Linked DNA regions of Lonchura striata. The protein of the gene in region 1 purifies or fractionates together with the protein of each later gene. This does not show direct contact. Links are inferred from orthologs where the notes say so. Each region holds a gene or a part of one and is shown in the gene's direction. Other genes may lie near its edges.

What was found.
Region 2: the proteins of RHOA (region 1) and MAP3K1 purify together in Homo sapiens (affinity purification with western blotting; 4 studies listed by BioGRID). This does not show direct contact. The link is inferred for Lonchura striata from reciprocal best matches to the Homo sapiens genes RHOA and MAP3K1.
Region 3: the proteins of RHOA (region 1) and rho guanine nucleotide exchange factor 1 purify together in Homo sapiens (affinity purification with mass spectrometry; 3 studies listed by BioGRID and IntAct, counting the BioPlex papers as one, with this or other methods). This does not show direct contact. The link is inferred for Lonchura striata from reciprocal best matches to the Homo sapiens genes RHOA and ARHGEF1.
Region 4: the proteins of RHOA (region 1) and C3H1orf198 purify together in Homo sapiens (co-immunoprecipitation; 3 studies listed by BioGRID and IntAct, with this or other methods). This does not show direct contact. The link is inferred for Lonchura striata from reciprocal best matches to the Homo sapiens genes RHOA and C1orf198.

Annotation. Positions count from the first base shown.
Region 1 is NC_134614.1:10,401,862-10,409,722, forward strand, and holds the start of RHOA (transforming protein RhoA), read left to right. Parts: upstream 1-4,848; 5' UTR 4,849-4,950; intron 4,951-5,956; 5' UTR 5,957-6,061; intron 6,062-7,861. UniProt on the Homo sapiens protein: Small GTPase which cycles between an active GTP-bound and an inactive GDP-bound state.
Region 2 is NC_134642.1:31,200,084-31,207,934, reverse strand, and holds the start of MAP3K1 (mitogen-activated protein kinase kinase kinase 1), read left to right. Parts: upstream 1-4,848; 5' UTR 4,849-4,863; coding exon 4,864-5,330; intron 5,331-5,703; exon of another isoform or gene 5,704-5,731; intron 5,732-7,851. UniProt on the Homo sapiens protein: Component of a protein kinase signal transduction cascade. Activates the ERK and JNK kinase pathways by phosphorylation of MAP2K1 and MAP2K4. May phosphorylate the MAPK8/JNK1 kinase.
Region 3 is NC_134639.1:340,584-347,700, reverse strand, and holds the start of rho guanine nucleotide exchange factor 1, read left to right. Parts: upstream 1-4,115; 5' UTR 4,116-4,137; intron 4,138-4,452; 5' UTR 4,453-4,475; coding exon 4,476-4,502; intron 4,503-5,386; coding exon 5,387-5,458; intron 5,459-5,550; coding exon 5,551-5,664; intron 5,665-5,918; coding exon 5,919-6,017; intron 6,018-6,111; coding exon 6,112-6,154; intron 6,155-6,697; coding exon 6,698-6,803; intron 6,804-7,117. Other genes in the region: B-cell antigen receptor complex-associated protein alpha chain-like, read right to left, coding at 227-337, 453-521, 962-1,080, 1,346-1,711, 1,981-2,043, 2,859-3,058, 3,467-3,471. UniProt on the Homo sapiens protein: Seems to play a role in the regulation of RhoA GTPase by guanine nucleotide-binding alpha-12 (GNA12) and alpha-13 (GNA13) subunits. Acts as a GTPase-activating protein (GAP) for GNA12 and GNA13, and as guanine nucleotide exchange factor (GEF) for RhoA GTPase.
Region 4 is NC_134605.1:42,773,550-42,781,375, forward strand, and holds the start of C3H1orf198 (uncharacterized protein C1orf198 homolog), read left to right. Parts: upstream 1-4,816; 5' UTR 4,817-4,868; coding exon 4,869-5,216; intron 5,217-7,826. Other genes in the region: TTC13 (tetratricopeptide repeat protein 13), read left to right, coding at 1,883-2,006.

The DNA of each region.
Region 1 (7,861 bases):
GGGCATTTAATAGAAAAAACAGTTTTGGCATAAGAACATGTTGTAGTAATTTAATTATTTCAGGATCAAGTTGCATCATTATGCTCTCTTCTGTTTACCCTTTGAAACTAAAAGGGAACGGGGTTTTATTTCACTTTTATTTCTAGCACAATTTACTAGAGCTCTTCCAAGTATTTCTAAATTCAGAAAAGAGAAAGAAAACTAATTATCTCAAAGTGCACAGAAAGATTTTAATATTAAATGTCTTACTATACAACTGAAATATTCTATTCCATTTCTGTTCTATTGTTTTATAATAGAACAGAATTCTATTCTGTAAATTCCATTTACAAACTCAAAGTTCTGTAATTATTTTGAGTTTGAACATAAACTGACCTTCACTGGTCTTGCTTGCTGCCTCTTAGTCAAACTACATTTCTCTGATAGGGTTTTAAATTCAATTTGCTCTGAACATACCACAAAGTAAACTTATTACCATTTTATTTTCTTGCCACTGCTCACTTAAAGACAACAAAATGCCATGTACAAGCGCCGTGTTGGTGTGAAATAAACTAAATAATTCAGCTTTCAACTGACACACAACCTGACAGAATTGTGTAGAAAAATAAATTACTTGCAAGAGACAATAATGGAACATAGGAAAGGTTTTCAGAAGTGCAGGAGGAGCTTGTGCCCTATTTGTGGAACACAGGAAGGTGGGTCACACTAGGATTAAGGGATGAGCTTGTGCAAGTCACTGCAGTTTGGAGCTGTTGTGCCCAAGAGCCAGCCAGGGTCTCTGAGAGCTGCAGCCTCCTGGATACATATTCCCAGGTATGGATGCGAGATAAAATTTCAATTCAGGCAATAAATCACCTTCGCATGAGGAGAAAAGGAGGAACCCACACTTGGAGAGGGAACACAGACCACAGAGTGCTCTGATGGCTTTGCTGCAGGATTTTAAAGTGTGCTTGCCGCACCCATGGAGGCAGAGGATAGGCTTGGAGACACGCAGTTCTTGGAAGGCCAGTGTTCCTCTGAGTCTCAAGGCCTTCCAGCCAGGATTCTCTCAGCAGGAACACAGAGCTGCTTTCTCCTGCTGCAGTAGTCCTGCAACAGGGAAGCCTGACCAAGCCTTGGAGGTGCCTGTGCCAGACACTTGAGCAGCACTGATCTGGGGCTTGTAGGTGTCCTTTCTCCAACCACTGCTAGAGGAGGCCAGCAAATTTTTGGAGCTTCTGCTCCCCCTCTGCATATCAAAGGCTTTGGATTTCCCTATCTGTGTGGACAAGCAGTTCTCTCTTCTGTGAAAACCCTATCCAGAGCACAGGAATTCTCCCTTCATCAGGGCTGTCATAACAGCAACATGCACAGCAGCCATGGGCCCAGCTGCAAACTACCACCCATGGACAACACCAGTGAGCTAATTGCTACAGCAAGGGAGAAGGAGGAGGCTAAAGGACTTGCTTTTAAGGTGGCCACTTCCTTTAGGACTTCAGACAGGTGACTTGCCCTTCAGGATTCTTTATCTCTGAGGCAGATCAAAAACTAAATTCATTAAAGCCTGCATTTGGCCTAAATGTGGTGTAGACTATGCAGAGAGGAAGACTGATGTCCTACATGGAAGAAATAGATCTCCTTTTGGTTTGAACTCTGCTGGGTTTACTTTTTTTTTTTTTTTTTTATTGGCACCATTGGGAGAGTTCCCATTTGCTTAATTAGGCCACATATGAGGAAACAGAAAAGACACTTGGCATATTTGGCTTGACCTGCTAATTTCCATTGTTCATTAATCTGAACTGCCTGGGTTTAGATAAAAGTTTGTGACATTAGGAGCTGGATAGCCAAGTCAGCTGGGAAGGATAAGTTGTTGGGGATTTTTGGGTTGGTTTTGTTTTTTCTACAGACACAAACCCACGTTTTTATTGTGGTAGACAGATGCTTTACACTGCTCAGTTTATAGCCCTAGAACAAAGACAACATTGACATACCATTATGTTTGGTTGGCAAGCATTTCTAGATACTACTCCCAGTTTCTGACAAGATTTTTAAAAGCAAATTATAATGCAATTAACTAATAGGTAAGTTATGGAAGCACTCTTAGTAAATCATGTCAGTGCTGGGGTGCTTGAAGGAAGCTCTCAGTTTCCTGGCACAGAAACTACATTTACTCTTCAGTGAAGTGTATAGCTTGACCAAAAATATAACCCATGGTATATTCCCTAAGGGAAAAAAAAATTTATCAGCTACTGCTTCCAATTATTTCTTCTCAGTTCTTGTTGTTTTCCTGCTAGCTGTAAACACATTTGAAAGACTGTCTGACTTAAGTAGAACTGATTGTAAAAGGTATCCCTGCAATAAAAATATCTGCAAGAGATATTTGGGGTATTTTAGCTTTTCATGGCAGTCAATAAACCATTTTTTCCCCTGTATGGGCCCTTACCTTGGCAAAATAAAATAATTGAGGGGAGGAGGAGAAAGGGAGGGGCTTTGATTTATGACCAAACTAATAGTTTCAGAATACATTGCTTTGATACATAAACAAAGTCCCCAAATGTTGTGTGAGAAGAGCTGCACTTCTGCAGCAGTTTCTCACCCTTGACACAAACCTGGCCATCATGAAAGTCAGGATGAAGACTGTTTTGAATAGCACACGCAAGACAAGAAAAGGTAGCAAGTTCACACTACAGACACCTTCAGAAGATGTGGTTTACAGAGAGAGTTAGACTGAGGATCCTCATTGCTGTCAGTAGAGTTTGTTGGCTACCTTGATTAAAATCAGTTTTGAATCCATTACAAGATACCTATTCACCAAACTGGGAAAAGTCAGCTCCTGAAGTACTTTCATTAACATCATGCCCAAACAGTACCCACCTGAGAGAGCAGGACCTGTGGCCACAGACCCAAATTCAATCAGTGCTCTCCCTTGGGCAAGGAGAAGGAAAAGGAAGCACACACACTGTGATCAAAACACCCGATAGTGTTTTGGAAACAAAGGCAAAAATTCCCAATGGATCATTAAAAAAAAGCAACAGTAGGCCACAAGGATCTCTATTAAACAGTAATAAAAAACAATTATGAAAAGAACCTATGGCCTAGAAATAACTGATTTCTGATTCAAGCCTAACCAACCCGATGTTCAAACCACAGATAATTTCCCTATAAACTTCAGGAAAATGAACTTCTGTCTCAGCAACAGAGGTGTGAAGGCAAACTGGTCAGCCACAGAATAAACTATCATGGGCCTCTGACTGTGCACACTATCAGTCATCCATCAAGAACTGGTACTAAGCTGTAAAAACCATTTACCACATTGAATCAAACGTCTGCTTGGTAAGAAAAAGTCACCTTCCTTGCAATGCTGGCAGAACAAGCCAGTCCCAGGGAGCTGCTTACTGAGAGGAGCTAAGCAGCACCCGTCCTCTACAGGTACCAGAGCAGTCCATAAAAAGGTCAGCCTAAAGTTAGCTGGCAATGCAAATGTTGTCAAATGAGGGAATGGGGAGAAGCACTGCAGATCATGCATCAGAAGCAGCACAGCATCAGTTTCTCTTACAGTGTCCAGGTTAAACAGACCATCCCCAAGTGCCAGCTGAAGGCTGCTGAGCCTGTTCACAAGGGAGCCCTGAGAGACACCAGAGGCTGTTTGTCACCAACCCTCTCCATGCACACATTCCCTTTGCAGTGATGACCTCACCCCGGGGCCCCTGAAGCCAGTTCCACATGTTGAACCTCCTCAGGTGGGCAAGGATGGAAATGATGAAGTAGCATCCTTCCTCCAGTGCATCAACCACAGGTATCTGCACCCTGGGATGAGGGCAGTCCTTGCCATTAAGCTCACCACAGACAAACTCAGGAAATGCTGTGATTCCAACCCTTCCAGCCCCTGCCTTGTGCTGCCTGTGAGCCCCTCAGCTTTCTCCAGCCCCAACGGCACAGCTCAGTGCCTGCTAGGAGCAGAGCTCATTTGCTCCACTGGAATAAATAGGCTCACAGACAAACAGGGTACTTTGATACCACTGCTCCCAACCACCTTTAACTGAATCAATTAGGTTGTAAGACCTGCAGTCATCAAATCCTGCCTATGACCAAACTCCTGGATGTCAGCCAGACCATGGCACTGAGTGCCTCAGCCAGCCTTTCCTTAAACACCTCCAGGGACAGTGACCCCACATCTCCCCAAGCAGCCTGTTCCAATGTCTGATCACCCCTGCTGTGAAGAAATCCTTCCTGATGTCCAGCACAGTGCAGTTTGAGACTACATCCTCTCATCCCATCTCTAGTTCCCAGGCAGGGGACGCCAATTCCCACCTGGCTGCAGCTTTCTGTCAGGAGTTTTACAGAGTAGCATAGCCACCCCTGAGCCTCCTTTTCTTCAGGCTAAACACCCCCAGCTGCTCCTCACAGCACTTGTGCTCCAGACCCCTCACCAGCTTCACTGCCCTTCCCTGGACCCTTCTGGTCCTTCCGAGCTGAGGGGCCCAGAACCACGCACTGGACCGGAAGGGAGAGACGAACCGCCCACAGACAAACCGGGCATCGCGATTCAGGGCCCCACCACAGCCGCCTTTCCCGCAGTAGATGCGGAGGGACCGTGCCCAGCATCGATAACGCCTCACGGAGCAGGCACCGATGAGGCCGCAAGGAGGCGAGCAGCCTCCCTTAAGAGAACACCAACAGGCCCAAAGCCAAGCCCACAGCCCAGCCCCGCCGCTCCCCAACTGCCGCGGCGTAAATAGCACCGGCACCTTTTATAGCGGCCCTTCCCGGCAGCCCCCGCGCGCGGCCGCGCCGATTGGCCGCGGGGCTGGCAGCCGCGCGCGGCCGGGCGGGGCGGCTCGGGAGCGCGCCGCGCGCGGGGCCGGGAGCGCGCACGGCCCGCCCCGCCCCGCCCGTTTCCGCCGCCGCCGCCGCTCGCGCTCGGGCCTGTGGAGCAGGAGGCGGCGGGAGCCGGACCAGCGCAGGCCGCAGGTACCGGGGGGCTCTCTGCCGACCGCGGGGCGCGGGGTGGGGGGGCGGATCGCCGGCCTCTCTTCTCCCCTTCCCCCTTCCCGCCGCCGTCGCCGGGTGGGGCCCGCCCGCCCCCGCCGGGAGTCCGCGGCCTGCGGGCGGGGGCGGCCGGGCCCGGCCGGGCCTCTCGCCGCCACCGCCGCGCACAAAAGGGGAGGGCTGGCGGGGGTGGCCCCTCCGCGAGTTCCTGGGGCCGGTAACGGGGCCCTTTCCGGGCCGCGGGAGCGGGGGAGGGGAGGAAGGGGCGCGGCCCCGGGGCTCTCCCGCGGGAGCCGCCCGCGCCCCGCCCGGGACCCGGTACCGCCGCCGGGCCGTGGGCGGTGTGGCGGGGGCGGTGCTGCCCCCCCGGCCCCGCGGGGTGACACGGGCGGCACCGGGGGTGCCCCGGTGAGTGGCAGCTTGTTGTGTGACGTCAGCGGCGCCGGGGCCGCGCCCCGCCCGCACCGGGGGTCGCCGTCCCGGGCCCCCCGCGGCACACGGGGCCGTGCCGGGCTGCCTCTGCAAGGGCTGCCGGGGGGTTGTGCGCCGCTGAACTTTTATCTCGGGGAGGAATCGGCCTTTGGAGCGAAACTGGAAAGTTTGGGCGGTGTTTTTTGGTGGGGCGGCTGCAGCAGGCCGGGGAAGCGCCGGGGGTGGTTTGACACCACCGGAGCCCCGACAGCCTCACCTGGGCTGAGAGCTGCCCGGTGTTAAAATACACCCCGCATAAACCTTTTCTGCCACGACACCCATTCTTTCGAGCGCGAGAGGAACCTCGAGACTACTGTTTGAGTTTTAAAAATAAGACCCAAAAACTTCTCCCAGAGGTCTGGAGAGTTAGTTATTAGTGATACTCAGGATGAAGTATTGTTCCCAGTCCAGTGATACCACAACTACTTTGATATCCCTTTAAGAGGTGTCTGGAACGGGGGTTTGTTTGTTTTTAGTTGCTGCCTCATATCCAGCTTTTGTTTCTCTCCTCGTACAGTTCACCTGTTTGTTGCAGGGAATTCTTCACCAGCAGTGGTTCCCACCCGCCCTTTCTCTGTGTGATACAGTATTTGGAGAAAATTAAACACTAAGACTTCCCTAGGTAATGTTAAGTTTGTTGTTGCCTTCTCCCCCCACCCCCAGAGCTTAGCCTAAGTGTCAGTTCTGCCATCTGTGTGAATTTGAAATGGTAAACTTCTTCCAGAACCAGACTTCTGTTGTCTTCTTTTTATCTCAGAAATTTCAAAAGTTAATGGTACGTGTCCTAAATGTTTGTGAATCAAAGTATTAGGTTTTCGCATGGCTTTATTTGGGGATTTTTTTTTCCAGTATGGAAATATTAAGTCTTTCCCTCCCTGAAAAGATTGTTTGTGAAAATATTTGCTTGCTGTTGAAGACTCTTTTGATACATGTGTGCTTTCTTCCTGCCCTGTTCTGGTCTTATCCAGGTCTCCAGCCACACAACAACGGCATTTCTCGTTCAAATATACACAGGCTAATTCTGGTACTGATTTGGACCAAGGCTGCATGTTTAAAAAAAGAAAAATGTTAGCCTTATTTCACTTTAATTAGTTCACTGGAATGTTTAACAGCACATTCAGCATAAATGTTTGACATAAATTTGTATGATTTTTACAATAATCCATAAATTTGGATGATTTGTATCATTTAACACTAGAATACATGTGTTTGTCAAAAATAATTTTTCAAGACATGAATGCACCATCACATAAAGGGCAAAATAAATTCAGTCACAGCAGAACTGAGCTGAGCAGCTCTCATGTTATCCCTGCTCACCAAGCTCAGGCTCTGGCCAAGTGCCACAGCAGCCAAGCGCCAGAGGCGGGGAGTTCTCTGAGCCAGGAATTGACAGTAAAAACATCCTAAATGATCTTAACTGCCACCAGGATGTAGGACTGGGGATGGCTCTTCAGATAAGCAAATTGCAAATGAAAACGTTTAGGAGAGGTCTTAGAAGTATCATCATCTTTCCTCATTTTCCGATAGTAACTCTTGGGTTTCTGGTTTTTAGACTTAATCTTTTTCTCTCAATGTATTTAAGTTGCCCAGAATCCTGTGGGCTCTTCCTCACATCTTGTCTGCTCTGTGCTAGATATTTCTGACCTTGGCTACCTTTTCATTAGCCAAGTGTGCCTTCTCAGTGTCTCTACCATTTTACTCCCTGCTGCTTATGGTATCATCAGGTTCTTTCCAAGTCTCCACTCAAACCACCATCTTTTACCTTTAGTACTAAATCTCATCTCTCTCTCTTGTTCTGCTCTGTTGCCTTACAATGTGTTTTTAAACGTAGTTTGAACTAACGTGGAGGAGAAGTGTAATGGGGTGAATTTAAGGAAGTTAGCATGTTGATAAAGTACAGCAAGTGTGCCCTTGAAATCTTAAATTAATCCATTATGAGCTTGTCCTAGTAAAACATATAATAAGGGTGAAACTCTGTAATAGAGAACAGTGCAATGCAAAATAAATGTGCCAAATGACAGCAGACCTTCATTCCATTCCCAGGGCACAGCTATGCACCTGCACACACCTGAATGCATGATGAAAATCCTCTGCTCCTTGCCTTTTGGTATAATTCCTCTCCTGCTATAAATAGTGGGTAGCTAAATAGAAAGAGGTGGTTGCTTATTACTTTTTGGTAAATCTCAAAAATAAGCAAAAATATCCCAAAATACTATCTGTGGTACACTGGTTAAGTTACTGTTACTTTTCCACTGCTGTTCAGTGTCTGGGTGCCTTCTGGTCTTGGTGGGATCTGTTACCACTCATTCTGAACAGTGAATAAAGTAGCAAAGGCTAATTGGAGTTGGTAGAGTGACACTGCCCTGTCCATCCTCTCTTCTGTCCTTTTCCTATCACCATATTTTCATTTGGGAAGGACATT
Region 2 (7,851 bases), on another chromosome or scaffold:
TCTGTTTCTCAGTAATCTGGAAATCTGTAGCTTCCACGAATGCCACAATTTATAAAAGCTGTGGTTCTATTTGTGTCTTTGACTCATAGAACAGAAGGAATAACAAACACCTAGGCTGAAAGAGATTTAACACTGGTAGCAGCAGGGTGAAGGAAAATTGAGCTATCACTGTTTTTCTGAGTCTGAAATCATAGAGTTGCTTTCCCCCAAAGAGAGAACAGATAGTGGTGTTTTCAATAGATGGAATTGTTGATCCAGGTGAGAACTATCACCCAGGTGCTGTCATTTTACTAGTCTGGAAGAGTATAAGAAAAATAGCTTATGGCTGCAATAATTTCAGTAGTTCTTTGTAAATGATGCATGAGAAGAGGTTTAACAGGTTTTGTTCATTCATTAATACATTTATTTTGAGCAAGGATTCATCCTGAAACTCAATAATATTATATCCCTCAGCCTTGTGTCATGCCTTAGGTAGGTAAATATATTTGTTACACAGTTACAGCTGGGAAAAATTGAACCATGAAAGGATCATGACTTATTCAAGGCCAGAAAAATCCTCTGTAGTACAGCCAAGAAGAATATCTAAGTTAGACGTCAAGCTATCAATATTCTAAAGACTATCTGACATCAAAAATGGAACTGATTTCAGTAGTTAGTGCAATATGTACAAACTAGTGATAAAAAAAAATCAAGGCAGCAGATATACTGTACAAGGACTACACTCTAGTTTGCTGATTGCTCTGTTGCCTGTTTGTCTTTCTTAAAAGACAAACTTAAATTACAAACTCTTTGGGAAGAGATAACCTTTTTGTTTTGGATCATATGGTAGATAGACCAAAAAGTTCACCAGTTCATGTGTAAATGCTACAGCAAAAAAAATTGTTAAGTGTAAGGAATGTAACTAGACAATGCAGGAGTGTTGTAAGTAGCATCATCACCACTGTTTCTTAAAAATAATCTGGGAACTGTTATTACATGCTTTGGGAGAACAAGAAGATTTAAGTACAGCTCTTTCCTTATACTATGTGTCTGAAACTTAGGTCAAAACATCACCCTCAGTTTCATGGATCCAAAAAAATTTTTTAACAAAAGTTCTGTTCCATATGGACTGAATTGTGAGGGGAAAAAAAAATCTTTAAAGGTGTTTTCCATTAAAATAATAATGAAAAGCATAAGTAAAACATTAAGGAAATAAATTTATAAATAGCAGCAGACTAGACATTCCCAGTGTGTGAGCAAAAGCCCCTATAATTTTCTGTAACAGATTCCAGTTTTACTTGACATTCTCTCTCCTGAGAAGTGGTACAGGATCCTGCTTTTCTGAAGGATACCTGTTATGTTATAAGGTACACCTGTTATGTTATAAAGTAAGAATGGCATCAGAAAGATGGCAAAGCATTACTACAGAAAACAGCAATGCCGGCAGATTTCAGTAGTACCTAGGAAAGTAGTATGAAAAGATCCTCAGATTGGTTCTCATTTAGTTGCTTGACTTTTCCATTACACAGAGGAGTAAACAGGAAAGGATTTTGGCTTAAGAGCAGGTTTGTTTTCCCTTTCTCACAACGGAAAGAATGAATAGAAGATCAAGGTGGGGATAAGTCTTTCTACACAGACTAACAAGACAGGGAGAATCCAGTTTGTATACAGTATTAAAGCACTTTTTGCATGTTTAGTCAAGACCAGAAGCTATGGACTGTATTATCTCTCATATTTATTCTGTTTGTGCATGATGATGCCTAGGTTATATATTCAGGGGCACAGCAGATTCCTATCTCTAGCATGTTGAAAATTGTTGACTATTCATTACACTGTTACAAGTTTTGTGCAACAAGGAAACTCCTTGGCTTGCAAAATCTTAGTGTGTTCCCAAACAGAAGTTTCTTTGTGTACAACGGTAGATGTTCCAAATATTGCACGATGCTAATTTGAGGCCAAAGGCCTCTGTTTCATAACAAACCCTGAGTGCTGTTACTTGTGACTAAAAACTGCTAAAAGTCTCAGGTTACCTTCTAGAGCTGTGTTTTAGATAGAATGAGAAATAATCTGTGCAAGAGGTAACTGAGTATCTTTCAGAGCTCTTAAGCAAGTTTTGTACTTTTTTTCAATCAGGTCAGCTTGTTTATTTAAGTGCAAAAAAAATTTTAAGAGCAAATGAGAAAACACAGATGTCAACCAGCATGTTCAATTTCTGATTTCAAAGTGGTAGAGCCTTTATATTGTGCATAAATCTGTGTTTCATGTCAGCACTGCACTACAGAGTGTTCTAGAGTGAGGAATGGAAGACGGGTCTTGTTATCCATTATGTTTCCTTCTCTGGTCACAGCACTGTGGAGAAACACACTTTTGAAAATAAATAAAGTGACTATAGGCACTATAGGCAGAATGTAATTTATTTGAATTGAAATTCAGCCACTAGTCAAAGGATAAACAACAATGCACTTTTTAATGAAGAATAGTAAGTTTTCCACTTTGCATCTTATCCAGAAGTAATGCAAAACCTTGACAGCACTGGCCTTACTCAAAAGGCAAAGTAATGCCTTAAAAGGAATGGTGACAGCACCTGTCTCCTTTTAGCTGTTTCTTACAGTGGTGCCTCTCACTGTCCCTGAATTTTATATTTTGCCCTGTTCTTAGCTGCTTTCCATAAAACATTTCACCTCAGTGTACATGCAGATACACCACAGTGTAGAATTCCTCAGTACCCCACTGCCACTCTGACATTTTCCTTGAATTTTCTGTTTCCTTCTCCCTTGTTGGAGTCTTGACACCCTGAGAGAGATGTCCCCTAGAACTGTCATACACATTGTGTATATACCCTTACCTCCTAGATTTAATTTTATTGAAGATATGCTGCTTCTCCTCTGTATTATATTCTGACCAATTGCTATTCAAAGGAATATTCCTCTTCCATTTTAAGAGCATTTATAAAATACCTAGTCATTTTGTTCTGTTTAGATGTCTTTAAAAGCATAGGGGTTTGTGTGGTTATTTTCTTTCTTTTTTCTGTAAATGTGATTTTATGGCAGAGAGGAATATTTGAAAAACTATAATAATGCACTGATTTGCATGTAACTAATTTCATGCTGTGTCTACAAAGTGGATACTTTGTTATCTTGTTCCCATGAGTAACCTCCTCACTTTTTCAATGTGTCTTGGTCTAGGAATCTTCCAGAATACTCTCTCTAATTTACAGCAGAGGCTTTAAGTGTCAAATGCTACCTTTATGAATTAATTTACATTACAAGTTGTACATTAGCTGTACAACCATTAGTTGTAAATTGCAAGAGAATATTAGATGATGGTCTGCTTATCCCAAAGAAACTATACCTGCAAGATGACAAGGAATACAACTGACCTTCTCACAGCACTCTTCACTGAAAACCTTGCACAAGGATGGTTGTAGTGTGGCATCTTGACAGATCACCTAAATGATTCACTCAGTGTGACCTCAAGGCCTTACCTACTGATATTATTCTCTAAGTATACAGAGTACAAAAAGTGTCCTCAGGCTTTTGTCTAACGGGAAAAACCTCTTCCTATCTGCTCATCACATCCTCCAGCAAAGACCCTACATTTAGGTCAGCTTCTGATCATATAGGTAACGCAAGAAAGAATCTGCTTCTGCTAGAAGGTAATTCTCACTCAACTAGTGCTTCAGATCAAATCACTGATCCCAGGAAACTGACCATACTAATAATCATTACTGATACGCGTAGTTAATGTTACACTTGCATACCCACCAAATTCTGAAAAATACGCTTGAAATATTCAGCTAAAGTGCTTTAAAATGTGACTTCTACTTTATCTAAAAACCACACCGTCCCAAAACCAAGCTTGTATGCATAGCAATATTCAGTTTTCCTTTTCTCATCTCAGATCTAAAAGCAAAACCACCCCAATGTGGTTGAGCGAAAATCCCGACAAGTAGAAAATTTACTTGAACCTCCCCAAGTTTCTGGTCATGTGATGTCTCCTGCCTTTCTTCTCTCTCGCAGTCTCTCAGGAAACAGCCGCAGCGGTAGGTGTGCGTGGCAGGGTATAACCTTTCCTACATGTGCATGCCTGCGCACACAAGGAGACATTAACGCTTCTCCGAAGTTTGCAGACATGGAGAAGTACCTGAGGACGGGGGGAGCGGCGCCGGCCAACTGAGGGCAGCCCGGAGAAGGACGCGCGGTGGCTACGAGCGAGGATGTGCATTTGATTCCCTCCTGACTGCAGAGAGGGACGCCCAGGTGAGCTGGGGCACACTTGTGAGGCGATTCATCGGCTGTACGCAGCGAGGCACCGCGGGCGCTCCGCTCCTCCCGGCCCCTCGCCAGCTGCTGGGGAAATGCTGGCGAGAGGAGAGGCTCAGATTACGGGGGTGCGAGATGGGAGGGCTCCGAGATCCGGGAAAGGCTTCTCCGGCCTCGCACGGAGCTCAGCCCGCCCGGCCGGCCGTGCGCGCCCCGGGGCTGCCGGAGCCTCCGCCGCTCCCGCACGTGGGGAGGGCCGCGTGGGGCGGGGCCGCGCTCCCCTCTTGGCGCCTCCACCGGCTCCCTGGCTTGGCTCGGCCGCACGGACGGACTCCGTCCGGCTCCAGACCCGGCCGCAGGCCCGGCCCCAGCCCCGCGGAGCAGCGGCGGCGGCAGGCGCGGCTCCCGCCCGGGTCCCGCCCCGACACCTGCGCGGGGGCGGACGGGGCGCGGCCCCGCGGCACCTACGGGCGCGGCCCCGCCCCCGGCGCCCGCCGCCGCCAATCCGCGCCCGCCGTCCGCCCCCGCCCTACGCCGTTTGCGCAGGCGGCGCCGTTTGCGCAGCGCGCCGTCCGCCGGCGGCCCCCGGTGCTCGGGAGCCCGATGTGACCCGACAGAGAAAATGGCGGCGGCGGCGGGGGATCGCGCCTCGTCATCGGGATTATCCTCGGGCGGCGGCGTGGAGGCGGCCGCCGCCGCCGCCTGCGGGAGCCTGAAAGGCGGCGCGGTGGCCGGGAGCGTCGCCGGGAGCGGCGGGGGACTCTTGCGGGAGGCGGGCGGCGGCAGCCGAGAACAGCGCTCTGACTGGAGACGGAAGCAGCTGCGCAAAGTGCGGAGCGTGGAGCTGGACCGGCTGCCGGAGGCGCCCCTCTTCCTCGCCGCCGCCCCGGCCGCCTCGTCCTCTTCCTCCTCCTCCTCGCCGGAGCCCCCTGAGACGCTGCTGCTGCTCCACTACCTGCCCGGGCCGCCGCGCTCCAGCCCCGCCAGTCCGGCTGCCTCCCCCAGCCGCTGCGCCGAGCTCCTGGAGCCGCTGCCGGCGGGGACGGGCGCCGCCGCGGAGCGGAGGATGGAGCCGTCCCCCGCCGCGAGGTGAGGGGCGCCGGCGGCTGGAGGGGCGGCGAGGGTCGGTCCTGGAGGGCGCTGTGTGACAGCGGCGGCGTCGGGGCTGTTCTCGCGGACGGGGCTCGGGGCGGGCTCCGCCGCCCCGTTCCCCCCGGCCGTGGGAAGTGGCGGATGCGGGGGCGGCAGGAGCGGCCGCGGAGCGCAGCGCTGGGGCGCGGCGAGCAGAGCTCGCCCGCCGCCCGCCTTCCCCCGGGACACCTGGCCCGGGGCTGAGGGAGGGGCACGGCCGGGCCGGGCTGCCCGCAGCTGTCAGCGGTGCGGGGCTGCGCGGGAGCCGAGCCGCGGAGCGGAGCCGCGGGGGGCGGCCCGTGTGGCTGCGGGGTGCGTTTGTGTTCGACTTCTGCCGGAGTCCCGAAAGGCTTTGAAGTGTGAGCTCGGGGCGGCGGCGCGGCCGGGGCCGGATGTGTCAGCAGCCATTGGGGCTCGGGGCGAGCGAGCGCGGTGCGGGGCCGGGGCCGGGCTGCGGGCGGCGGCTGAGCGCCTGCCTTGCGGGCTCCCCAGGCGCTGCCGAGTGCTTTGCTGCAAAACTGAGTAATCGACTTTATTATGTTTTCATTTTCCCCTTCCCCCTCCACCCCACCCCCTGAATTCTCCGAAGTCAGATTTTAATTTGCTGCCTCGCGATAATGCAGAACTGATTTCTTTTAGTAACAAGAGGAAAGACTTTGAAGCATAAATATCCGCACTCTTTTAATAGGGGAAAGTAATTTTGTCGTGGCTTCGTCTAGGTGATAAATTTCAGTGGTTGTACTCAGCGCCCTGGTGTTTGCAGTCTGTCTTTGCCTTCTGTGTGTATTAATTGATAAGTCCATTTTCTTCTGAACTACCAGTATTTTGCCTATTTGCCTATTTATGTTTGCAAGTACTCAGGTTGAAAGCGAACTTATGCCCGTGGTGAAGGAGTTTAAGTACTTTAAAACACATTTCAGCTTTAGCATGTACTCGCTGGGTTTTACTGGTGTATGTGTGTGTAGGCACTGCAGTATGACCATTTAATTTTGGTGTGAAGATGACAATTTCACCTGGATCTCTTGTAAGGTTTTATCTGGTGCGGACTCTAGTTTAAGAACTTAGTTTAAACATCCAGGGACCTATTTTAGTGATGCCTTACAGTTTGGCTAATCATTTAAACCTCATAAAAATATAATTCCTGTTTGGACGTGACTTGTGTTTTCTTTTTAGTCGCATCTTATGTCAGTCAAACCTCAGGAATATTTTTTAAAGGTTGAATTACCATAGGAATACTGTAATAAGAACTGTTTCCTAGACTGATGACTTGTTTATATTTATTCTCAGCAATTCAGATGGATTTTGGCCTGTTCCTAGGGCAGTGTAAAAATACTTCTTATAGTGTGATTGTCCAGATAAGAAATGGCTCTGTACTTACACAAGGATTAGCAGGAAATTGTAGATGTTTTAGGGAAGGGTAATGATGTAGAAGTTCTAGTGAGTGCCTTGTCTTTTTAAAAACTATTAGCACCATCTTTGTTTTTATAAAGTCATGGTATTATAATGTACTGTATATGATAATACAGTTATATCAAGTTTCATGGCTTTCAAGAAAAAAAAATAGCATCAGAATATGTTTAAAGAGGTCGAGTCTCAAGGTGGTAGCAAGTGGAAGTCAGGCTCAGTGTTGGAGGTGCAGGAAGGTCAATGTGTGTCGCATCAGTGCTGAAATGCTGCATCCATCATTGGTAGTTGGTCCCACAGCAGCAATGACAAAGCAGCTGTGGATATATTTTTTTGCCTTTTCACATGGACAATTTTGCTTACTTTTAGGTACCTGCATTTGGCCAAGTGAGTGTATTGAGTGTGTATGCAATTTAAAATACTTGGAAGTGTTTTGTGCTATTTTACTAGGAATGTTAACAAATCTTAGAAAATACCGAATGCCAAAAGCTTTTCTCTTCAGTATTTCAGTGAGTCTACTTTGAGTTTCTTGTAAGAGCACTTGAAAATACATGACAACTTTAACAATGATTGTCCTTCAGAAATACCCATGCATGCTCATGTAGCTCAGTGTGCTGTATTACCAATAAATACATATTAGACCAAGTAGTTTAAATCAAGTTTAGATCAAGTTGTTTAAAAAATTTAAAACATCTATATGGCCTCATTTTAATATTGACTTGTTTCAGCTGGAGGAGAGAGGCTAATTGATATGCGAGTAATAATAATACTCATTAAATTTGTCTGGCCAGCTGTTGCCGAGATATTTATTAAGAGGCAAACTTAAAGGTATAATTTAATGAATGTTTTATGGGGAGGTTTTGAATGCAGTTAGTTGTACTTTACCTGTAAGGATCTACTATTAGTTAGAAGATATATTTGCTCCAAAGTCCCCCTATCAGTCTCTTTGGTATTACAGTTACTTCCTTTTAAATAGATTCTCTGTTTCTCTTTATGCTGGAAGACCTTCTTGATCCTCAAAACGAACCTGAGAAGGGAAACTGACTGCTGTTGAATTATAGATGTAAATATTACT
Region 3 (7,117 bases), on another chromosome or scaffold:
AGGGACAATGGGAGGAAACCAGTGGTCTCACCCTCATTATTTATTCAAAACTTATTAAAGATTAATTAATTGTTTATTAGCGATTCATCAGCTCCAGTTTTATTTTGGGGAGGGGCTTGGCATCAGCGCCGCCTTGAGATACCAAAGCAAAGCCTTCGTGGGGTCGGGGGGCACGCAGGGGTTTGGGGAGGGGTCTTTGGGACCCCCCCTCATTTTTGGGGGGCTTTTAAGGCTTCTCCAGGAGCCCGTCGGCAGGGGGGGTACCCACGTCCTGGTAGGTGGGCTGAACCCCCCGGGAAATGTCCTCGTACATGGAGCACTCATCCAGGTTCAGCCCCTGGGGAGGGAAATTGGGGTCAGGGGTTTGGTTTGGGGTGAAGGACCCCCCCCAAACACACCCCAGACCCTTTTTTGGGGGGTTCAGGGTGTCACTGCCCACCCCCCCAGGTCACCTCATAAAGGTTTTCCTCCTCCAGGGAGATTTTCTTGGGCTGGAGGAGCCGCTCATTGGCCCAGCGCTTCTGGGAGGGGGAAAAAAGGGGTACAGGGGGGTTTGAGGGGGGGATTTGGGGGAAAAAATGGGGATTTGGGGTGATGGGGGCAAAAAAAGGGGTACAGGGGGTTTGAGGGGGGATTTGGGGGAAAAAGGGGTACAGAGGGGTTTGAGGGGGGGATTTGGGGTGATGGGGGCAAAAAAGGGGTACAGGGGGGATTGGGGAGGAATTGAATGGGAAACTGGGGGTCTTAGGGGGGGAATTAAGGGTGGCAGGGGGTATTTAGGGGCATCTGGAAGGGGATTTTGGGGAACCAGGAGGAATTGGGGTTGTCAGGACTGAAACATCAGGGACAGCAGGATCGGGACCAGGGATACCAGGACTGGGATTGGGGACACCAGGGCCGGGATTGGGGACACCAGAACCCCGAATTAGGGGCGGGGGTCCCCCCGGAGCCCCCTCCTCACCCTGAAGAGCAGCAGCAGCCCCGGCCCCGCAGCACACAGCAGCAGCAGCACTCCCTGCGCCGTCATGATCCTGTTCTTGGTGGCGTCTGCCAGGTCCAGGAACGGCACGGGCACGGGCTCTGCCGGAGCAGCCCGGCTCAGCCGCCCCGAAAACCTCCCCAAAACCCCCTCCGGGAGACCCCGCCCCAAAATCCCCAAGGGACCTCCGCCCCAAAACCCACCCCAAAATCCCCAGGGACCTCCGCCCCAAAACCCACCCCAAAATCCCCAGGGACCTCCGCCCCAAAACCTCCCCAAAATCCCCCCAAAATCCCCAGGAACTCTCGCCCCAAGAGCCCCCCGGGAGACCCCCACCCCAAACCCCCCCGGGAGCCCCCCACTCACCGAGGACCCTGACGAAGGTGCCGCAGGACTGCGCGGATGCATTCCTGAAGCTCACCCGGCAGAAGTAGAGCCCGCTGTGGTTGTGCTCCAGGTGCGCGAAGCTCAGCCTGGAGACCCCCGAGTCCCCCTGGCCCACCCAGCGCTCCCCGCCCTGGGCCGGCAGCTCCTGGGGCCAGGGGCACCCAAAGGTGCGGCCGCCGGGACACACCTGCAGCCAGGTGACGCGGGCGTCCGGCGGCTCGAAGCGGCACTCCAGGCTCAGGGACTCCCCGAGCTCGGCGGTCACGGAGGTGGGCACGGGCTGGACGTGGACCCCTCCCCCGGAGCCGCAGGAGAAGCCCCCGGGCCGGGTGGGCACCGTCAGCGCGGGGGTCTCCGGGAGTGAGGTGGGAGAGGCGAGGAAGGAGAGGTTGTGGCACTTGGAACCTGGGGGGACAAATTGGGGGGGTCACGGAGGGGCGCTGACCCCGTTTTGGGGGATCCCTGCACCCCCCCGTGGGTGGGGGTCTCCGGGCGTGGGGTGGGAGAGGCGAGGAAGGAGAGGTTGTGGCACTTGGAACCTGGGGGGACAAATTGGTGGGGGGGGTCGCTGAGGGGCGCTGACCCCGTTTGGGGAGGTCAGTGTGGACCCCCGTGGGTGGGGGTCTCCGGGCGTGGGGCGGGAGAAGCGGGGAAGGAGCTGTTGTGGCACTTGGAACCTGGGGGGGACAAATGGGGGATCACGGAGGGGCGCTGACCCCGTTTTGGGGGATCCCTGCACCCCCCGTGGGTGGGGGTCTTACACGGGGACCCTGCAGGTGGCACCGGGGGGAACCCCAGCCCTGCTGCCCCCCAATTCCTGCTCTGCCCCCCCAGTTCCAGCTCTTCCCCCCCAATTTCAGCTCTGTCCTCTCAATTTCATCTCTGTCCTCTCAATTTCAGCTCTGCCCCCCCAGTTCCAGCTCTGCCCCCCCAATTTCAGCTCTGTCCTCTCAATTTCAGCTCTGCCCCCCCAGTTCCAGCTCTGCCCCCCCAAATTTCAGTTCTGCCCCCCCAAATTTCAGTTCTGCCCCCCCAGTTTCAGCCCTGGCTGGGGACGGAAGCTGGGGGGGGGGTCCCAGGGGTGACACCAGCCCAGGTGGCTGGGGGGAAGCACCCGGAGGTTGTTTTTGGTTTTGGGGTCCCCCTGAGACCCCCTAAGGGGTTCAGGAGGGACCCATGGCCGTGGGTAACAGGGGACCCGCCCTTAAGGGGGGTGGGCACAGGTGGGACCCCCCAAAATCCCCAGACCCAAACCCTGAGACCCCGGAAGTCCTGAAACACCCCAAAAACCAGAGATGAGATCCTCAAGACCCCCAAGACCCCGGAAATGAGACCCTGGAACTCCTGAAACCCCCAGACCCAAACCCTGGGACCCCCAAGAGCCTCAGCCCCAAACCCCGACACCCCAGAACCCCTCAAACCCCCCCCCAGATCCAAACTCAAACCCCGAGATCCCCGAAGCCCCCAGCCCCCCCATCCCCCCCAGCGATACCTGGGAGGAGGAGGAGGAGGCTGAGGGTGAGGAGGGGGCTCGGGACCCCCCGTTTTGGGGGAGCCCCCCGGATTTGGGGAGCAGCCGCCATCAGCTGCGTGCGCCCAGGCCCGGCAGGAGATTCGCCCCAGTGCCCCGGGGGGAGGGAAGTGGGGGCGGCCCGCCCCAAAGTCCCCAGGGACCCCCGCCCCAAAATCCCCCTCCAAAATCCCCAGGGAACCCGCCCCAAAATCCCCAGGGACCCCCGCCCCAAAATCCCCCGGGACCCCAGAGGAGGGGACGGGGTGCGCGGGGGGCTTGGGGAATGGAGGATCTCGTGTTGGGCTCTCGGGATTTGGGTCTGGGGGCTCAGGAGTCCAGGGGTCTCAGCACCGGGATGTCACAGTCCGGCTCTGGGGGGTCTCAGGGGTGCCAAGATTTGGGTCAGGGGGCTCAGAGGATCCCCGAGTCACGGGCGTTCCTGGCACTGGAGTGGGGGTCTCGTTGGGGTGGCTCTGTGGGTCACACCCCGCGAGGGTTCCGTGGGTCCCACCCCATGGGGTTCTGTGGGTCCCACCCGTGGGTCCCACCCCATGGGGTTCCACCCGTGGGGGTTCCGTGGGTCCCACCCCATGGGTCCCACCCCATGGGGTTCTGTGGGTCCCATCCCGTGGGTCCCACACCCCGGGGGGGATCCGTGGGTCCCACCCGTGGGTCCCACGCCACTTCCTGCAGGAAGCTCCTGCGACGCCCGGGAACGCCTTTTTCCTACCCAAAAATACCCGAACCCCCCCAAAAAACACACGAAACCACCCCAAACCCCCGACCCCGCCCCGGGAACGCCTTTTTCCGCCCCAAAAACACCCAAACCCCCCCAAAATCACCCGAATCCACCCCAAACCCTGAGCCCGCCCCGGGAACGCCTTTTTCCGCCCCAAAAACACCCAAACCCCCCCAAAATCACCCGAATCCACCCCAAACCCTGAGCCCGCCCCGGGAACGCCTTTTTCCGCCCCAAAAACACCCAAACCCCCCCAAAATCACCCGAATCCACCCCAAACCCTGAGCCCGCCCCGGGAACGCCTTTTTCCGCCCCCAAAACACCCAAACCCCCCCCAAAATCACCCGAGAACGCCTCTTTCCGGCCAGACCCGCCCCAAAAATACCCGAAACTAACCCAAATCCCCGGGAACGCCCTTTTCCGCCCCAAACCCACCCGAATCCACCCCAAAATCGCCGGCCCCGCCCCCCCCGGTCCCCCCCCCCCATTTCCTGGACCGTTTCTCCGGCGCGGAAACAGGTACGGGGGGGGGGGGGGTGGGCGGGGGTCTCCTGGGCCCTCCCCGACCCCCCCCAAACGCCCCCCAAGTTCCCCTTCGCCCCCCGGGGTCGCCCCCCGGGTTCCCACGCGTGTCCCCCACCCCAAATGGGGTTTTTTGGGGGGGTCCGCCCTGGTGCCCCCCCGCCTCGAACGGCACCGGAGCCGCTCGGGGCGCGGCGCCGCCCCCTCCCCACCCGTGACCCCTCCCCAAAGCAGAGGGGGGTGCGGAGAAACCCCCCCCGACCCCTGGGACCCCCCCCAAAATCTGAGACCACCTCCCCAAACTCGTGACAGGACGAACCCCCCCCGCGAGCACGATGGACCCCGAGGAGGGATTTAATGGGGTGAGCGGTGCCCCCCACCCTGGGGGTCCGGAGACCCCCCCCCGAAATCCCGCGGGCGAGGGGGGTCCCGGGGGGCGCAGGGCCTCGCGGACCCCCGGTTCTGGGGGGCTCAGGGGTCTTGGAGAGCCCTGGGGGCCGAGATCGCGGGGGTCTGGGGGGTACTGGGGGTCTCGGGGGGGGATCTCGGTGTGTGGGGGTCTTGGAATGGAGGGGGGGTCTCAGGGGTCTGGGGGTGCTGGAGGTTTGGAGGGGCCTGGGGTTCTCGGCGGTCTGGGGGTTTCTGGCGTCCTGGAGTCTCAATCTGGGGGTCTCGGGGGTCTGGAGGGGTCTCAGTCTGGGGGTCTCGGGGGTCTGGAGGGGTCCTGGGTGTCGGGGGGGTCTCAGTCTGGGGGTCTCGGGGGTCTGGGGGGGTCCTGGGTGTCGGGGGGGTCTCAGTCTGGGGCTCTGGGGGGTCCTGGGTGTTGGGGGGTCTCAGTCTGGGGGTCTCGGGGGTCTGGGGGTCCTGGGTATCGGGGGGGGTCTCAGTCTGGGGCTCTGGGGGGTCCTGGGTGTCGGGGGGGTCTCAGTCTGGGGCTCTGGGGGGGTCCTGGGTGTCGGGGGGGTCTCAGTCTGGGGGTCTCGGGGGTCTGGGGGGGGTCCTGGGTGTCGGGGGGGTCTCAGTCTGGGGCTCTGGGGGGTCCTGGGTGTTGGGGGGTCTCAGTCTGGGGGTCTCGGGGGTTTGTGGCATCCTGGACTCTTAGTCTGGGGGTCTGGGGGCTCCTGGGTATCGGGGGCTCTCAGTATGGGAGGAGGGTCTCAGGGGTCTTGGGGTGCCTGGGGGGGTCCTGGGGGTGTCCGGGCAGTCTGGGGGACCCCCGAGCCCCCCAACCCCCGCTGCCCCCCAGCCCCTCCCCGGCCCCCCGGCCGCCGCCATCATCGGCGCCGAGGACGAGGACTTCGAGAACGACATCGAGCCCGTGAGTTTTGGGGAGGGGTCCCGGGTGGGGGGATCCCCTCGGCCGCGCCCCCCTCCCCAAATCCCAAACCTGACCCCGCGCCCCCCGCCCAGACCCCCGAGGAGCAGAGCAGCCACTTCCAGAGCCTGGAGGAGCTGCGGCAGCACCCGCTGGCCCTCGCGGCCTTCCTGCAGCATGTCGTGCTCCAGTTCGACTCCTGCCCCGTGGTGAGATGGGGAGGGGGCTTCGAGACCCCCACCCCAAAATTTTGGGGGGCAAAATTTCCCCCGGGGGGGGCAGTGGAGGGTGGGGGGCTGCGGCCTCGGAGTAACTTCGTGTCTCTGTTCCCCCCTCCCTGCCGGCAGGGGCTGGAGCTGAGGTAAAACAGGGGAGGGGGAAGTTTGGGGGTGTAATTTGGGGAGGGGGCTTGGGGGGTTTATTTTGGGGGGGGGTCAGCCCGTTTGCCCACCCCCCACCCCAGCTCTGCTACCTGCACGTGGACATGATGAAGAGGATGAACCCCAAGGAGGGCAGGAAGCAATTCCTGGAGTTCTGTCACTTGTTCCTGGACAAGACAGGGGTGAGACCCCTCCCCAGAATGCACCCCGGACCCCCTCCCCACCCCAGGAGTGATCCCCAAAATCCTGACACCCCCCCCCCCCCATCACTGACAGCTCCTGCGGGTGCCCGTCCCACACCACGTCCAGTTTGAGCTGGGTGAGTGAGACCCCCGACCCCCTCCTCATTTTCAGAGACCCCCAAACCCCCTCCTGCAAACTTCCAGAAACTCCCCGAGCTTGGGTGGGGGGCTTCGAGGGCACCCCAATTACCCCCCTGTGGGACCCCCACCCCACTTATCCCCCCCATGGGACCCAAAGCCCCTTGCTCAAAGCGGGGAGGGGTCTCTCCCCTGCTGCCTCCCCCCAAAACCCCCCTGTAAAAGTGGGGAGGGGTCTCTCCCCCGCTGCCTCCCCCCAAAACCCCCCTGCTCAAATCGGGGAGGGGTCTCTGCCCCCTGGGACCCCACTGCTCAAACTGGGGAGGGGTCTCTGCCCCCCTGGGACCCCCGCAGTGAATTTGGGGAGGGGTCTCTGTCCCCATGGGACCCCCCCACTCAAAATGGGGAGGGTTTCTCCGTTGCTGCCTATCCGTGCTCAAATCGGGGAGGGGTCTCTGCCCCCTGGGATCCCTTTACTCAAATTGGGGAGGGGTCTCTGCCCCCCCGGGACCCCCGCAGTGAATTTGGGGAGGGGTCTGCAGAGCGGACGCGGCCGGAGCTGCTGCCCGAGGAGGCGCAGCGCCGCTTCCTGCAGGACATCCAGAGCTTCCAGGAGCCGGAGATCGCGCGGCAGCTGGAGGACTTCAGGTGCCCGATTTGGGTGGGTGGGCTCGGGCCGGGGTCGGGGCGGTGGGCGGGGGTCTTAGGACGCCCCCTCCCCAGGTCCAAGCGGCTGATGAGGGTCTCGGGGTGGTTGGGGGGCTCGGGGGTCTCAGGACGCCCCCTCCCCAGGTCGAAGCTGCTCATGGAGGGGTTGGGTGGGCGGGGGTCTCAGGACGCCCCCTCCCCAGGTCCAAGCAGCTGATGGGGGTCTCGGGGGTGGGCGGGGGTCTCAGGACGCCCCCTCCCCAGGTCCAAGCAGCTGATGAGGGTCTCGGGGTGGTTGGGGGTCTCGGGGGGTC
Region 4 (7,826 bases), on another chromosome or scaffold:
GATTAGTGTTACTTAACTTTATTATCAGGGGTTCTGAGCCTGGTGAATTTCACTAGACTATAAAATCCCTTCCTAAATGAAGAAGGCTAATAAGATTCAAGGACATCTTTGTGAAACTTAGACTAAAAATCTACTTGTAAATGAGTAAAATTCAGTATTCATTAAGGAGTGACATTTTTAAACTACAGGTGTAGCAAGTTGTGAATTTTATTAAAAGTAGTCTCTACAAATATTTTGACATGCTTGTCTTGGAAATATGAAATATTTATGGTTCCCACAACTTTTTCTGTAATTCTCTCAATTATATACTCTTCTTTATTAATCCTCTGTTCATGCTGGTTTTGTTTTTGTGGGACTGGATTGTTTTGTTTTTTTTAAGATGTAGCTTTACCAAAGAGAAGCTTCCTTCTTGGGAGTAAAGTCAGCTTAAGATATCCTCTGTTCATGCTGGTTTTGTTTTTGTGGGACTGGATTGTTTTGGTTTAAGATGTAGCTTTACCAAAGAGAAGCTTCCTTCTTGGGAGTAAAGTCAGCTTAAGATACTTCATGTGTTTCTGCTTCCCTCAGCTGAACTGTTGAAACTTATGGGAATCCATGTCAAACCAGATCAGGGAAGTCATTCATGTTAAAAATAACCTTGCCAAACAATTTATTTTCAATCAATACCATTTTGTAGTACAGTAGAATCTAGGGAATCACTGGGTCAACGTAGAGATGTATAATAGGTGGGGAAATGAGCCAGAGTGGAGAAAATGCTAAAGTTGACTTTGCTCAGGGAAAAAAAAAATAAATCTGAAGAACTACAGCCCAAAGGACTTTATATAATAGCATGAAGCTAATTTGCCTGAGTGGCTAATTTGTTTGTGGTAGATAAGTAATAGTGGATATGGTAAATAAGGCTGGAAGACTTAAAGCAATACATTTTTTCTTTAACTTCTGCTGCTTTTGAAAGCTCTTCTTTGTAGACATGGTTTTCATTCTGTATGATGATGGAGTAGTCATGAAAAGCAAGAGCTGTTTGTGAACAACAGATTCTGAGAATCATTGAATCATTAAGGCTGAGAAAAAACTTTAACATCATTGAGTCCAGCTGCTAATCCATCACCACTGTGTTCACCACTAGACCATGTCCACAAGTGCTACATTCACTTGCTTTTGATGACTTCAGGGATGCTGGTTGTACTATTTCCCTGGGCAGCTTATTCCAATGTCTTCACCCTTCCCATGAAGAAATGTTTCCTAATATGCCATCTAAACCTTCTCTGGCACAACTTGAGCCAATTTCCTCTGGTCTTGTCCCTTGTTAACCTGAGAGAAGAGACCAGCCCCCATGTGGCTACACCTTCCTTTCAGGTGGTTGTAGGAGGGCAGTAAGGTCACCCCTGAGTCTCCTTTTCTCCAGGCTAAACCCCATCTCCCACAGCTGCTTCTGCTAAGAATTGTGCTCCAGACCCTTCACAAGCAACCTTGCTCTTCTCTGAACTCATTCTAGCACCTCATTGCCCTTTTTGCAGTGAAGTGTCTAAAACTGGGCACAGGACTTGAGATGTGGCCTCACTACTGCCAAGTACTGGGGGACAACCACTGCCCTGGTCCTGCTGGCCACACTATTGCTGACAGAGGCCAGGATGCCACTGGTCTTCTTGGCTTCACTGCTGGCTCATGTTCAGTTGCTGTCAACCAGCACCCACTCATCCTTCTCTGCCCAGCAGCTTCCAGCCACTCTGCCCTAAGCCTGTTGCATCAAGTTGATTCTAGACACAGGTCCCAAATTTGTTGGAGAAGGTGATGGGGAGAAGTCTGAGTTAAGTAAGTTAATGTGTTAACTTGCAGGGAAATTATGAAACTCATTAAAAATAACTTTTTTTTTTTTCTCTTTCAGTATTTCACCTTCTTACAAGAGCCTACCATCAGTATCAGAGACTTTTCCAACCCTGAGAACAATGATTGAAGTACTAAACACAGACTCCTCTCATTGTCTAAAAAAAACTATAGTTGTTGTATAATTTATACAAATAAAAGGCCAAAAGGTACTGCTTTGTAAATTATTTTGAATAGCAAATTATGGACAAAATGGTTTGATTTTATTTTGGTTTTCTTAACAGAACAAACTTACTTACTATTTATCACCAGTAAAAGAAATCTTTCTGTGCCAAATAATATTAAAGAAGAAAAAAGAACAACTGCTTTTTTTGTATTAAGACACACTGTAACAGAAATAGTTATTCAGGGGCCCAACTGAAGAGCAGAAAGAAACTTGATCATTTATGAACTGAACATACTACAGGTGAAAATTTATTTAATAAAAAAAACAGAAAAGTAATTTTCTTTGGAAATAACACTATTTTACTTCTCACTGGTTTGTTTTAAAGCCTCTGCACAGAACACTTAAAACTCTACCATGTGTGAGTAACTGGAGAATACACAGGCATTTCATGTGGTGCAGTGCAGTGAAGGAACAGATGTCAGCTTAAAAGAATGGGGCTCAGGGAAACATCATTAGGAAACAAAACCAAACCAATTACTTATTTGGAGTTAGGCTCTTGGTGAGTAAATGTCAGAAACAGAACAATCTCCCTTTCCCAGTACCCACTGGTGGTGGTGGTTGGCAAAAGTTAATAAAAGAGTGACAGGATTTAAATATATTGGGAGCACTAGCTAGTGTTCCTTGAGTTGTTTTTTGTTGGACAGACTTGGCAGCATTCAGGAAAAGCAGGTTTCCCTAACCAAACCATAATTTGACCACCTGTGTGTTTAGTACTAATGAATATGAATTCTGAACTTTCTTGATCGGAATTTCTGTAAAGGGCAAAAGTAGTTTTGGTTTTTTTTGTTTTGTTTTTGTTTGGGGTTTTTTTTTTTTTTTTGCAAGTAAGGATAAAGGAGGTTTGTACGTTTTCATTGAAAGAATTGGGATGCTGTCCATTTGTGACACAGGTATTTTCAACATTCTGTTCTTAAGTACCTTCTTCTATCCCACTAGAAATAAGCACTGTTTGCTTCTTCTGTTTAAAAGACTAGAAGTTTAAGTTTCATTAAGGAAGAAAGGAATTGTTATTTTCCTGGAAAAACAGCAGCCTGAAAACTATGCCTAACTTTATACCTTGTTTGTGTTCTAATGTGATCTTCTAAGCCTCCTCTAAGTTTTGTTATTCATTGTATTATTCATTGAGAAAGGGGAATCATATTGGCATTTGACCAGACAGGCTTGGGAACTATAAAAAGGAGGGGTTCTGTTTTGAGGTTTAGACCAGAGGTAGTGGAGAAGGGGTGGTGGGGAAGAAAAAAACTGCCTGGACAAACAAACCATGTGCAGTTGTCTGGGTTTCCTTGTCCTCATTTTTTACTCCGGTGACTGACTTCATCCCTATCTCCTGGTGGCAAACAAAAGAGATTAATTAAGGGGAGATCATGGGAGGGTTTGGAGTAATGTGTGTTACACCTCTTATGAGTGTATGTGTGGCTGCAAAAGTGTTTCAAAGGCTTCTTTCTCTGGGTGTGATGCAGATGACTAAGAAAGAGAGTGAGCTCAAGTCAAGTGCTCTCAAACAAGTTTAACAAACAAAACAAGATTATATAACTGGGCTGGTATGTGATGACTTGGGGAACTGTAATTACCTCCTAAGGACCAAGTACGTGGAGAAATCTAATTATCATTTTCCATCCTCTTCTGTGCCATCTTAGACAGCTGGTCTGGTGATACCATTTGAACTCTTAAATGGGAACATTAATGTATTGCAGCCCCAGTCATTTATCTACTAAGAATGATACTAAAGAAAGCAGACTGAGGAAAAAAAATAGGCTAAGCAATGAAAAACCATTAATCTGAACCTCAATATTTGCACTACTTTGTAATATATTTTGAAGATGATAAACATTCCCCCTGCAACTACCTTGGCCAAAAGTCAAAATAGATTTAGTCTTGTATAAATCTTCTGACATATTTGCCTCTCTTAGGTAAGCTTGATTTTTTTTTTTCTTGTTGTTTTTTTGAGTGTTTTTTTTGTGGAAAGGAAGTATGCTTCCACCACCCCACCCCAGGAGACTGGTCATCTTTTGGGAATTTGTGTGTGGATCCTTGGTGAATCTTTTGCCAAAATAAGGACTTTTTACCAGAACCGAGCATTTGTACAACAAAGGAAGAGACCAGACAACCTAATTATTTAAGCCTTTAGGCATCTATTTTACCAATGTAATGCCTACTGCATTGATTTGTTACGCTTAGGCTGCAACTTTACTATCAAATTCATACAGAGGCTTCGGACCACCTGGCACCCTAACTGGTGCAGTTGGACAAAAGTGCATGTGCCAGACATCCTCTCTCTTCTGACAGCAGCCGGTGTCTTCTATCGTGTTAAGAAACACGTACGACTTCTTTAGGGAGTGAGGAAAGGCAGGTTCTTGGGCACGGTGATCCTCTGCTAGCTGAGGCAAGTCCTTTCGTGGTGCTCCTGGCCCGGCAGCGTGGGAATACTACAGCTTACCTCGTCGGCAAAGCAGGGGAAGGGCTGTAGGAGACGAGAGCTGCGGGCAGGGGCACTCGAGGGCCGCGGGGCCCGCTCAGCCCCACGCTATCGACGGTGCCGAGAGCGGAGCAAGCCCGGGAGGCGGTGTCCCCGCTTCCCTCTGTCGCCGGCCCGAGGCAGCGGGAGCAAGGCCGGCTCCCGGCAGCGGCGCCGCGGGGGAGGCGGGCAGGGGCCGCCGGGCTGGGCGTGCGGGGGGCGGGCAGCGCGGGGCGGCGGCCGCCCGGCTTTATAGCGAGCGAGGGAGGCGGCGTCTGCGGGAGGAGAGCGGAGGGGGCGGTTCTCTTCCCGGTCCCATCCCCAATCCCGCCGTGCGAGTGCGGGGCCGGCGGCGGCGGGGTGGCCATGGCCTCCATGGCGGCGGCGATCGCCGCTTCCCGCACGGCGGTGATGAACGGGAACCGGCCGCTGGACGAGCGGGAGCGCAAGCGGTTCAGCTACTTCTCCTCGCTGAGCCCCATGGCGCGCAAGATCATGGCGGAGAAGGAGCGGATCCGCGAGCGCTACGGGCCCGAGTGGGAGCGGCTGCCGCCCCGCCAGCAGGACGAGATCATCGACAAGTGCCTGGTGGAGCCGCACGTCCAGGCCCGCTACGCCGCGCACCGCGGCACCGCCCGCCCGCCCGCGCCGCCCGCCTCCTACCCCAGCCTGCGCCTCAACACCGGGCAGAAGGTGGTGCGCTTCGGAGACGAGGTACCGGGCTGGGGGAAGGGGAAGGGGCGCCGGCGGGGCCCCGGCACCCCCGCACGGGCGGGGCGCGGCGGCCGCGACCTCCCCGGGCTGCGGCGCCGCCGGCGCTGGGCTGCCCGGGTGGCGGGCGCTCCGTCGGCAGCGGGAGGAGTTGCCCCGGTGATGAGCTTGATTCCTTCCCGCTGCCTGGCTGTGCGGGAGGGCGGGATGCTCACCACGAGAGAGGCGCCGGGTCACACCGTAAAGGCAAGGAAGGCGCCGGCAGCGACAGCGCTGAAGTGGATTTTGCAGAAAGCAGACTCGGAGAGAGGACGGTCTCAGTTCCCCCGACGGCGGGTCATGGCGCTGGACATAGTCTCTTGCTGAAAATGGGCTGTAGGGAATGTTTACACTGAATTAAATATCTTCCTTTTGGTTTCTAGTTTTAGACACGGTTAAAAATACAACACTGAATACATTCTAGCTCTTGGCATGTTTGACACCTTAAAAAAATGCAGCCTGTTCCATGTCACATGCCAGGAAAAACAAGGGTGTGGAAAGATAGATGGCAAAAAGTATAGATTTTGAACCTTCTGAGAACCACCTATCCAATGGTGAAGCGTGGCAGCCCTTCTGGAAATCCACAGTAAAAGAGTACCCGGTCTGGAGCAGTGGGTCGTGTTACCGAGTGTGAGCCCTTGAAGAGGAAGGTCTAACAATGCTTGAAGAGATCTGACAGTACTCTTCAGATACTGTGTCTCTTATTCAGTGTATTGATTCCCTTTGTTTTCTATTCTTTTACATTTCTATTGTATTTTTTTATTCTCATATGATTACAGAGTCGGTTTCTTTCACTATGTCCATATAATAACTTTAAGTGACCTATTAATTAACATAATTCACTTATATGTCTTCTACCAGAAAAAAAAAATCTGCTTCTCCATTTGTAATCATCAATCCAATTTAAGGAGAGCAGTGCTACTTTTAGGCTCCTCTCCAATATCCCTTGCAATGGGATTTCTAAGAAGCCTGTTGGGCACAAATATACTGGGCATCAAGGTTCCCAACTGGCTTTGTGCCAGGAGACTGCTGCCTGTGTTTCCCCTGTCAGGAAGGTGTGCTGCACACACATCATATCTAAAGCTAGAAAGCATAGGATGTAGCTCAGGTTTGTCTAGTTCATGACACCCAATATTCTAGATAAATATTTGACAGGAATGGCCAAAAGGAGGTGTAGAAGGACACAAGACAACAAATTTGGTTATGCAAACAACCTTTAAAAAGAAGCTTAAATCTGAAGTTAATTGTGAAATAATTTAAAGAGTGTGGAAAATAACTATGTTCAGTTTTCCCAGCCTTGGAGAGCTCTGCTGTGCTGTCTGCTTTGAATTATGTGGATCTGGAAGGAAAGCAAGCATGTTTATAGGCTGTTGTGCTGCACTGTATAGAAATAATAATTTCCTAAACATCTAGAGAGTCCATCTGAAACTGGGCAAATAGTTTTCTTTCCCCTCTCTCCCCAAATACAGTTACAATATGCATAATGTTAATGTTTCTGTAGCCATTAACCACAGAAGGCATGGTTTGTCCAAATACTTGATACAAAGTGTTTAATTTTGGAAGTATCTGCCTCAACTGACTTCCTCAATGACTTCTAAGCAGAAGTTAATATAAATTGTTTCTCTGAAGAAAAGAGATTCCACTCATTTTGGCATTCGCCATTTCCATTTTAGTTCTTCCAACTGTACTACTGAGCCTTGGAGCCTTTCCTGGCTCTCCATCTGATAGCTTCCTCTCCCCTGGCGCCCTTGCTGGCATTTGACCTGATTGTTGGACATTTGCCCTGGCTGACAAATTGTTCCTCCTTGTCTGGCTGCGGCAGAGCCGCCGCCGCGCCGCTCCCTCGCCGGTTCGGTCCCGCTTCCCGGGCTCGCAAAGCTTGGCCTGCAGAGCTCTGTCACCTCTGTGCCCTGCTCAGGGAGCTGTGCCCTGCTGCCTGTGTGAGCCTCAGCTGCTGCACGCACTGTGGACACCCAGCCCTCGCTCAGGACCATTGCATTGGTCCTGCCTGCTCTAAGGCAAGGAAACGGAGAGTACCCCGCATGCCTCAGAATCACTTGTGGAAGCTGCAGAGCTTTCAGTGCGAGTGTTTTGGCCTGATGATGTTCTGGCTGATACACTTGGTCCAAAAGTTTCATGTTTCCAGCCACAGCTCATCTTCCCTGTTAACTGATGTTGAAATCTGTAGTGATCTACCTGGGCTTGCTTAAGCATGGAAATGTGATCTCTCTGACCTCATGTTCTTTGGAGGATGTGGTAGAAAGCAAACCAAGAATGAATACTGAGGATACTGATTTGCTGGTCCAGGCCTCTCACTGTTTCAGTCCCATTTTCATGCATATGACCATTATGATGAGGTGTCCAGAGGATATATGTAGTGGACAGTTGCTTCCCTCTTTCTTGCCCCCACCATTTCCTGTATGTCTCTTCTAACACCAAATTTATATCCTGAGCTTGTAGCCCAGGACTGTAAGTTCTCAAACTATAAACAACTCTTAAGTTTTCAAAACACCTTTGAGTGTGTTGGCTGTGTGGGAAGGGTGTTACAGAGAATAGACATGCAGTAACAGGACC